2 linked regions of the Mus musculus genome follow. The protein of the gene in region 1 interacts with the protein of each later gene in a biochemical or structural test. Links are inferred from orthologs where the notes say so. Each region holds a gene or a part of one and is shown on either strand. Other genes may lie near its edges.

The links.
Region 2: the proteins of Cacna1a (region 1) and Cacnb4 form a complex in vitro, tested with the Homo sapiens proteins (2 studies listed by BioGRID). The link is inferred for Mus musculus from reciprocal best matches to the Homo sapiens genes CACNA1A and CACNB4.

The regions. Positions count from the first base shown.
Region 1 is NC_000074.6:84,413,236-84,418,973, reverse strand, and holds the start of Cacna1a (voltage-dependent P/Q-type calcium channel subunit alpha-1A), read right to left. Parts: upstream 3,611-5,738; 5' UTR 3,331-3,610; coding exon of another isoform or gene 3,330-3,330; coding exon 3,031-3,329; intron 1-3,030.
Region 2 is NC_000068.7:52,452,265-52,457,239, forward strand, and holds part of Cacnb4 (voltage-dependent L-type calcium channel subunit beta-4), read right to left. Parts: intron 3,446-4,975; coding exon 3,336-3,445; intron 1-3,335. UniProt on the Homo sapiens protein: The beta subunit of voltage-dependent calcium channels contributes to the function of the calcium channel by increasing peak calcium current, shifting the voltage dependencies of activation and inactivation, modulating G protein inhibition and controlling the alpha-1 subunit membrane targeting.

The sequences.
Region 1 (5,738 bases):
AACTTGCAGGTGGGAGGAAGATTCCCTGGCCACAGTCAACTCCACAGTCCTGTAACCCCTCCCCCTCCACAGACAGCAAAGATGGCCACCGTTCATATGGTCCCACAACCCTCTATAAACTGACCTCTAAAAGCATGCCCTGCTCCACACATTAGAAACTGGTAGGGTCAGGCCACTCCAAGACCAGTTCCGAGGGAAACAACAGAAAGTGGAGAAGAGATCATCCCTAAAGGCCCATGATAAACATCCGAGAGGCCACCACACAGTGACATTCTGGATGCATTGCAGCATGAGAAAGCATCTTAAAGGTATCCTCAGAGCAGTCAGGTACAAAAGAACACTGCTCCAGTCCCATTTACATGAGGCATAAAAAGGAGGTTAGAGGGTCAGCCGATCTTGTTCGGATGTGATCCGGGAGGGGAAGACAGAGGTCCTTTGGCCTGGAGGGTGTGCATTCATCAGTGGTGCCAACCCCAACTCTTATGCTTGCCTGTACACATCTTAGGCTTTTTTCTAAAATACTCTGAATGTGCTCATTCAACTGTTAGAGTGCTTGCCGAGCATGTGTGAGACCCTGGTTTCAGCCCCAACACAGAGCAAAGCTGGTGTCATGACTCAAACTCTCCTCAGCCACATAGAGAGTTTGAGGCCAGCCTGGACTACATGAGACTCTGTCTTCACCTCCCTAAAAGAAATTTTTTAGAGAAATTACTTAAGCATTTTTTTTTCCTAATGCCAATAGTATTTGGATTTTTTTTTTCTTTTTAAAGTCAATGTTCTGTGTGGTATCTTGACTCCCAGGCAAGTCTGTGTTGTTCCCTCCCACTGGCCTGAATTTCTTGATGGAACAGCCTCAGGTCTTCTGTCCCTCCCTCTCCAATCCTCCCGGAAGCAGCTCCCTGCATGATGACCTGGCTTGGAGACTGCTGGGTCTGGGATGGGAAGCGCTCCCTTCTGGAGTGGGGCTGTATAACAGTGTTTGATTCTTCGGGCCAAAAAGGGAATAGAGGCTCTGCAGAGAGGGCGGGAAACTGCACACACTCATTCCAAAGCTACCCAGTGCAAATGAGGCCTGAACTAGCCAAGAAACAAGGTTGGGATGCTCTCACGGTGCCCAGGGCTCAGCCCAAACATAACTTCTGTGAGGGTCCACCACCTACATCTCTCAGAACTGCAGCATCCAAGAGAGACAGGGGTGAGCTGAGGACAATTGAGGGGCTCGCCAGCTCTTCTGCCTCCTCTTCTAAGGCTACAGAGAGGGGGAAAGTCATCTCAACAAGAAAGCCCCATCAGGCCAGTGACTGCTCCCTCAAGACGGCGGCCCCTAGCGCCACCTGAAGTTGTGCTTGTACCCCCTGTCATCCTCTAAGCCCCAGCGACTCTTTCCAGAATGTGTACTAAAGTCACACATCCTCTGAACATGTTACTGGGTTGGAATGCCTGGGAGTGCACACTGCCAGCCTTCAGGACCCACCTTTGCAAGGAGGAATTCAGGGGCAAAATCCTGGCACCAATAACACTGTGGTTATGGAGACATTCCTCAAAAAAAGGCCTTTGACACCTAATTTTCACTGCCTCCAAGTAAACCCCGTACTCTGAAACCTCCTGCTCTCTTGATTTGATTTCACAGCCCCAGGAACCACCATCTGGAGCCCCCAGAAGTGAATGCAGCCCTCTGTGCTCTTGGAACAGAAACTCCGAGAGCCCAGCTCTGCCTGAGCCGGAAGGGCCCCACCCATTACAGAGGAGCTATGGACCCCTTGTAAACTCTAAGGACCTGACCAGCCCAGATAATTCTGGCCCTCAACAGACTGGAGCCTGAAAAGCCAAGAGGCACATTTGGGCATGGCAGGGTGGCCAGCCAGCCTGGGGAGCAGGGTGTGTCCCCCCCCCACACCAGGAATCTGGGTCATGCTTAGACGGCAGAGAAACCTCAACTCTACCCACCCGCGCCTGCCTGCATCTCCCCAGATGCTAAGCATGTCCTCTTCCAGGTTTATGGGAAGCAAATGAGGACTTCATGGAATCAGGGGCACTGTGTGTGCAATCAGTCTCCGCAGAGGAAAAACGGCTTTTTGCCATTTTTCTCTGGGTCTTTCATGGAAGGGGGATTGCCTACCTGCCCAAGATGTCTATATGGAGGCTGACCCTCCTGGTGTTCCTACCCAGGTCCCCAGTGTATGAGAAGCTAAACCCAAGCCCACAAAAAGCCCTCCAAAGGGTCCCCACTTCTTTTCCTTCCTTCAGCCTTCCCTCATACTGAAACAACACACCTCAAATCTTCCCAGGCCATGGGCCTCACCAGATGGATGGCATTATGTTTCTTTACACCCCAAAAAATAACGCTGAAGGGGTTCTGATCTGTGACAGGAGAGAATGGAAGTTGCACACAGGGCTTCTGATGATGTGTCCCTCAAACCACTAAAAAAAAAAAAACCAGTCCCCAGATGCAGCTGGTGGCCCACCCAGAGCCACTAACTGAGGGATGGCTTCTCTACGGCCAGGCCACATGGTATCCTATACCCTAGGCCTGAGGATCCCACCTTGGGTGGAAGGCCAGGGTTGAGAGATCGGGGTACTATTCCGAAGGATTTGAGGGAGACATGTATGGGTTCTCTTACCCTGTAACCCAAATCGTCCAAGCACTGGCCCAGCTAGGGCTCCATCAGAAGTCAGACCCCATCAGAAGAGCCCCCATCAGTGTCCCCGCGCGACCCGACCCAGGATCCAGACCTTCGGTCTTCACAAGGAACCACTCACTCCCCCAGTCCCAAGCCTCCTAACTACTCGCAGGCTCACTCTGCAGCGGCAGCCCAGCAGGCCTGGAGGCTGCCTCCCTCAGCTACCGGGCCCCCATCTCCAGCCCCTATCCGCCGAGAAGCCCCCCAGCTCCCATCAGCCCCCAGGTCTCTTTCCCAGCCCCGCAGAGGAAAAAAGAGGAGGAGGAAAAGGAGGAGGAGGAGGAAGAAGAAGAGGAGGAAGAAGAGGAGGAGGGGAGGCGCAGCCGCTCGGGCTGGGGCAAAAGGATATGGCCATTCAGTGATCTTTTTGGCGTATTTTCTCACCACGTTGTCTTCACTGAAGAGGAACAGGGAGCGGTTGACCGTGAGGCAGTTCTGGCGGACAGGGATGGGGTTGTAGAGGGCCATGGTCCGCGCTCTCTGCGCCATCGACTGCTTGTACATCCTCTGCGCTCCGGGCTGCCCGCCCTGCCGGCTGCCCCCGGCTCCTCGGCCGCCCGCGGCGCCCACGACCACCCCGGCGGCCGGCCCTGAGCCTCCTCCGCCTGCGCCGTAGCGGCCCGGCATCTCGTCTCCAAAGCGGGCCATTCTGCAAAGAGCAAAGGGCCTCGGGTTACGCGGCGGCTGCTGTTGCTGCGGCGAGCGCTGCGGAAGCCACGGCCACCGCCACCACCACCACCACCACCGCCGCCGCTGCTCAGGCTGGCCGGGCTGTGGGGACGGCGGCTGCACCTGCGACTGCGGAGACGCTCCACGGCCCAGCCCATCGGGCGGCGGCGCCCGGCCTCAGCTCGGGGGGCTCACGAGCGGGACGGCCCGGCCGAGCCGGGGAGCGCGGCTCGGGACATGCCGGCAGAGGCGGTGACCCCGGGCGGGAGGAGGGGTGCGGGGGAGGGCGCGGGGGCGGGGCGCGGGGGAGGGGCGCGGCAAAAATAACCGGGGACGCGATCCAGGCGATCCCCGGCCACCCACTCCGGAGAAGAAGAAAAAAAATTTTTTTCAGTTAAAAAAAAATCAGTTAAAAAAAATAGTGTAAAAAGATCAGCTTTTTTTTTTTTTAAAGCAACGCTCCAATGCACACCCCCTTTAAAACGCGAAGTCTAAACGAAGGACGTCCCCCCTCCCTTGGACGCAGAGACTGGCTTCAAATTCCTCCGAGGTCCGGGTCAGCTTGGCATCTTGCTAAAGGCGTGGGCTCGGCCCATTAGTAAAAAAATAAAATAAAATAAAAAGAAAAGAATTAAATAACAAAAAAACAAAACCAGGTCTTTGCTATAGGAAGAGGGTGGCAGCGAAGGATTTGTCCGTCTGTTTTGCTGACTTTCCTAGACCTGGAAAGAATAGAAAATTCCTGAAAACGCTGCAGCCCCTCCCCCAAATTCAACCCGACTGGAGAGCAGAGGGCGGAGGAGCGGGGCGCAGGGGCGCGGCGGGGCTCGGAGGCTTCAGGGAGCCGCTGGTCCCCGGCTTTGAAAAAAAGCCGATCTGTTTTCCTCCTGATTCAGCAGCCGCCGGCTCCTCTGCGCGCGGAAGCGTGTGTGCGCGCAGCCAGGCGCGGCGCAGCCTCGGCCGGGGGGAAATTGCAGCAGCGCAGTCTTGAAAATTCCCCACGGGGGGAAGGAGGCGAGAGAGCGAGCGAACGAGCGAGGGAGGGCGGTGCGCGCCGCTCGGCAGAGGTTCGGGCTGCGGCAGAGCCTGGCAGCATCCCACCCCCGGGTGCCTCCCTCCCTTCCCCCCAGCTCCGCTGAAAGAAGAGGTGCGGGGTGCGAGGAGGGAGCTGCCCGGCCGGGAGCCGGGGCTAGATCGCGGCCCTGCGCCCTAGAGCAAGACCCACCCGGCGACACGCGCAACCAATCACCAGCGCGAGAGCAGGCGCGGCCAGGCGCGCAGGGGGAAGTCGGGACAGAGTCCTCCGGCACAAGGGACCTTGCTTGCCACCCGAGGTCCGCGTCGCTGCCTAGAACGAGGCGTGCCCAACAGGAAGGAAGAAACTTAAAAGACCAGAGGGTTTGGTCTGGAGACTTGGTGCGGGTGGCCGACGCTGAACAAATGTGGGTCTGTTGAGCAGAAGACAGTTTTTATGAGCTAGAAGAATGGTTTGGGGCACTTCTAGGAAGGCTGTGGGTCCCAGGGGGCCAATCCAAGCTAATGTATAGGAGATCCTGGTGGCAGCCCCCGTGTGAGCTCCCAGGAGCAGACCACTCACTGAGACCTAGGGTGTTAGGCGGGGGCTGCTGGCCTAGCTCGGTTTGGCCCCTGCTCTATAAGGCACTTGGATCACCCCACCTGCTTTTTTTTTTTTTCTTCCTATTTGGAAACTCCATGAACACAGAGAAAACTACATAAATCACAAATGAACAAGTTGAGGAATTGCTGCGAATGAACCCTCCTGGAAGCCAGCTCCCCAGAAACCCGCCTACAGGCCTACACGGGGGCCAGTGCCAGTATAACTTCTGCCTGAGCATTCTGCTAATTCTTTTAGCTTTATTTATGACCTTGGCATGCCTTCCTCGGCAGGAGTTATGCTTTGCTCCTTTTGATCTCATAATAAGCATCATTCTGCAGAACCTGTGGGTGACACATTTTCTTTGCTGTATAATACTCTATAAAGAAAAGTCTACAATTTGCTTGTCCACTTTCTTTTTTCTTTCTTTCTTTCTTTTTATTTTTAATGGGCATCTGGGTTCTTTCTTTTGGGGCCACAGTACGGCATTGCCTGAGACACCATATGCATGTGAACTTGCCTGCTTGTGGATTGAGGCTTTGTATGGGCAGTGTTTCAGGCTCTATACACGTAGTAGCTTCAGGATTATAGGATGTGAAACTTAACTTCTAAAGCAGATGTACCAAGAAATAGTTTGGGGAGCTAGAAAGGTGGCTTAGAAGGTAGAATGTAGGCTGTTCTTCCAAAGGACCCCAGTTGGATTCCCAGCGCCCACATGGTGACTTACAACCAGCTGTAACTCCAGTTCTGGGCAATCCAACACCATCTTCTGG
Region 2 (4,975 bases), on another chromosome or scaffold:
AGGTCTGCCTGCCTCTAGCTCCTGAGTGCTGAGATTAAAGGTGTATGCCACACAGTGTCTGTTCTTTTTAAAAATCTTTTCTAAAGATAAAATTGTGCTTAGAATAAAACAGTGGTAGAAGAACTTGAGCCAGGTCTCTTGGTGTGCTTTATACACACGGCCCTAGCATAGCATTATTTATATAGCTACAGTGATTCCATTTGGGGGTTGCTTTTAACAAGATCCACATTTAGGAAACACGTTTGAGGGATGGAAAGGGGCTGTTATGCACATTTTTGTATCCTGGCTAATGGTTGTGAGCTTCCTCAGACAATCGGAAGATTACCAAGTCTAGTTGAATTTAAGCTTTAGAGCCAGTGGAGTTGTTTAAGGTATAGTTACTATAAGTATAACTAACATACACACACACACACACACAGCTGACTATATTCAAATGTTGTACTGTATCGTGATTCAAACCTATCTGGCTCCTTGCAATCATCAGGTGACCCAAATCTGCATCTTCTAACTTAGTCGAATAAAAATGCTAGTTCTTTTCAAATGTCTGAAGCAATCCAAGTACTTTGTTTTGAGACAGAGCCTTGCCATGCAGGTCAAACCAATTGTGGTCTTTCTGTCCCTACTTCCCAAGTACTGTGATGCGATACATTAATGCTACTGTGGTTTACAAGCCCCTCTTCTTCTTCTTCTTCTTCTTCTTCTTCTTCTTCTTCTTCTTCTTCTTCTTCTTCTTGTTTGTTTGTTTGTTTGAAGGAAAATATATGAGCAAAGCATATGTTTTTCTGAAATATAAAAGTTGAGCTTGGTAGTGAATACCTGGTATCACAAAACTTGGGAAACTGAGGCAGAAGGATCATGACTTCAAGGTTATCCTGGGAAATGCAGAGAGTTTCAGCCTAGACTGCAGCCTCAAAAACTGATACGGTCTCAAAAATGGAGAACAGCAGCAAGTAGTCCTTCATAGAGTTTATGAGTCACTCGATGTAGTGGCTCATGCGTCAAATCTGAATTAGATTCTACTAAGGGGAAGACTTTGCATAGAAGCAAAAGCTTCTTATTTCTCAAAGAATCACTGACATTTAATGCACGATCTATGTTTAAAAAGTATGATTATGGGGGCTAGAGGGATGGCTCAGCAGTTAGGGGGCACTCGCTGTTCCTCCAGAAGACTAAACTCAGTTTTCAGCATCCATATTACGATCACCTGTAATCCTGCTCCAGGGGACCAGAGGATCGATCTCTCTGGCCTTCTCACCCACCCACATTCACGTGGCATACACACACAAATAAAGAGACAATCTTCTTTTAAAATATGAATTTAAGTAGACGAAATACATATCACTTTCACATTATTCAATACTAATGACCTGAAAGGCTCCATCCTGATGCTCCAGTAACCAGCTTTCAGGGTAGCTATTTAAGAAAATCTCTGCCAAGTTCTCATGAGATAATAGTCTACATTTGTTAGTAATAATGAACATATATCCAGTTTTTCCCCTAGCACATCAGAAGCAATTTAAAAAGAAATTTTTCTCAAGAAGGCCATTTGGAAAATAAGGCCAATTTTTCCTGCAGTCCGTTTCAGCAGAAGGATGTTGGGGTAGGTCCTCGATTTGTGCTTTAATTGATTTGCCACAGTTTTAAAGAAGCAGTTCTAGGCAGAACTACAGCAGAACAAGCTGACATTGTTTTAGTTCCAAGCCTCACATATCATTATAAAATAATGTAAAATCACATTTGATATTTTTTCTGAAGAAACGAAAAGGCAGCAATACAAATGGCACTGCCCCAGGACCCAGAATCCACAAGGCGCTCTAAGTCTCGGTCCAAATAGCTCAGAAACACCAGGGTTTTATTTCCTATGCACCAGCAATGAACTGGAGTGTAGGTTCATAGTCACTGCTGCAATGCTCAAAGCCCTTGGGCAATGGCCCTGTGCTGTAAGCAGTGGTGGAACTTGGGTAGAGAAGGAGGCCATATCACATAGTGGGTGATGAGCCCAGTACTTGGAAAATCTGTATACACAGTATAATAAGCAAATTACAGGCATAAGGGAGGCAAAGGCCCTTTTATTTACCTATCTCATCTTCTTCAAGAAAGGCAACAATCAGACAGGTTCTCAGAGGGGTGCTAAGGGAACCTTCTTTGTAAATTTGTTGCTGGTAAACAAAGCTGGGACAGTCATAGACTCTGGTGCTGGAGGCCCTTCATAAACACTCTTTACCACTAGACTGGAGTGTTTCAGCATTTTTGGAACTAGTGATGTTCCTTGTGTTTGGCTACTTGCTTGCTTTTGAGACAAGGTCTTCTGTAGTCTATGCTGGCCTTGAACTCCTGGTCCTCTTGACTCCACTCCCAGGTGCTGGATTTACAGATGTTCATCTCCCTCTCTCAGCTCCCAAAACTGTTATTATTTTTTCCATGGGCTCAGGGGAACATTTCCCAAAGTGGCTCACTTCTATGCACACACCAACTCATTGAGAACTTTATAGTCTCCCTCATGGGAAGATTTGTAAAGATGCTTTCCAACAAGTACCCAGAAAAGACAAGTTTAAGTTCTCTGCATGGCCATCATGGTAGCCACCATTTCTACTGAAAGGTGTGACTCTTCTGAGTCTACCAGTTGGCCACACAAGAATATCATTACCTTCCCTCTCTAAACATCTTCTTTCCTTCCATGTCAGCCATGTGTCGCCTACAACAGAAGCTTATTGGGATGTTTGGGGGAAGGAGATAGGTGGTTCCCCATGGTGCAACAGCAACTGGGTAGAGGGGCCTGAGGAGGTCGGCTCCCACCACACTAAGTGTCTAGAAGTGAGAGGGGGAGGAAGAAGAGTGAGGGAGGGAGGGAGGGAGGGAGGGAGAGAGGGAGGGAGAGAGGGAGGGAGAGAGGGAGGAGGAAGGGAGGGAGGGAGAGAGACAGGAAGAGAGGAGGAGGAAGAGAAAGGTAGGGAGGGAGAGACAGACAGGAAGAGGGGAGGAGGAAGAAGAAGGGAGGAAGGGAGAGACAGACAGAAAGACAGAGACAGAGAGACAGACAGAGACAGAGAGGGGGGAGAAGGAGGAGGGAGGGAGAGGGGAGAGAGACAGAGATGGAGGCAGAAAGAGGATGAGGAAGAAGGGAGGAAGAGAGGGAGGAGGGAGGGAGGGAGGGAGGGAGGGAGGGAGGGAGGGAGGGAGAAAAGGATTCTGGCTGCTGCAAGGACTCTGCCCCTGTCCTGTCCAACGGCTGGCTTTCTCCACAGATATTCAGTACTTCTCCAGGTAGGTCAGTGCCCAAGTAGGACAAGATATTCCCCACCCATACACCGAATGCCCATATGAAAACATCTTACCTAAGCTGGATCTGGTGTTGGAACGTTCAATTATTGCTCTCTTGCTAGGATTGTTGAGGACAGATCTCTTAGCAAGAGAAATGTCAGCTGTCACTCTTGTTATTGATATCCTAGGAAGAGGAACACAGAACAGGACAAGCCAGTAAAAATGTCATGTGGCTTTCTGAGTGACTCATAGCTGCAGTGCTTAGCAGATACTTCACATACTACCACAGAACCACCGTACAGTAAACGTCAGCCACAAGGATTTTAAACAGACTCTGGCTCGTATTAAAACAGAAACAATGAATGGCGGCAGGCTTTGGCTCTGTAGCTGAAAACCACTCCAGTGAAAATGGGCTCCCTCCATTATGGCCTGCCTGGCCAAGTTGCCTTTAAAGCACACAGCACACCAGGAGGGAATCAAAACATGAATTAGGCATGCTCTTTCTAGGAAATAGCTATACAGTTTCCTCAAAACTCACAGTTGATTTGCTCTTGAACAAGCCCTTCAGGATACACAACTGCTCTGCCCTAACACCGTTGGCTGAAAAGGGAAAGCTTCATTTGATCACAGAAAAAACAAAACAAACCCAACCAGTTGGTAACTAAGTTGTGTTTCTTGGCTCAGTAGTTAATCTCTAATATATGAAGTGTTTCTCCACAGACCCAAGAGGAGCTTTGTGGGTAGGATGTGAGAAATATGGTTTCCTTTCTGCAGGCATGGAAGCCTCAGTATAGGATCTGAGCACATCTGGTGTGCACTTGTGCACATCTGGTTGGCACTCATGACCCCAGTCGCTGAAGTCAATGTGAGCACTGGAGTTATGATAAGTTAGGACACACACACACCTTGCTGCCATGGAAGACTAAAGCAGAGACTTTGTATGGAGAGAGGGGAACAGCTGGACCACACATTATCAAATGATGGTTTGTAGATTTTATTGTTTTAAAATAATTTTTAACGGAGACCGCTCAGCTTCCAACTATTGTCTGTAGAATTCAAAGCTGGTCCACCTAGGACAATCAGAGAAATCCACAGACCTTCCCTACCCTCATCTGCACAGCATGGGTGAGTTCATAAAGGGAGGATCGCTTCCCTTGATCCTCTTAGCAGACTTATTCTTCTCCAGGGCTGAACTTCTTTGAACTTCATGAATTTAATTACACGTCCTCCCATTCCTCCTGTTTTTGGCCATTCTAAGTCTGGAGGCTCTGGTGACTAGAAGCCTTAGGGAGGACCAAAAATTGTCCTTTTCATAAAGGCTCGGGAACGAACAAACATTTTTTGAGGCAGAGTCTCTCAATATGTATCTAGATAACTTTGAGTTCCTAATCCTCCTGCCTCAGCCTCCTTTGTCCAGGAGCCATAGGTATCCACCACTGTGCTCAAGTTTTACAGCAATAGAATGTACAGAAGTTGTAGCGGGATACTGAAGCCAAGTGGTGCTGGCCTGGGTGGCTGCATCTATAAGCTGCAGGTGCTTGGAATACCACCGTGTTCTAACTTCTTGAACCTTTATGCCTTGATAATTATTTAAGGCAGCATCAAATTATCCCGTGTAGCAATAAAAGTTGTGAGGAGATTTCCTGGGACCGCTGTGAGCATCAACATGGGCAGAGCTTATACTTCTGAACTTCTCTCTCCTATGTCGAGCTCA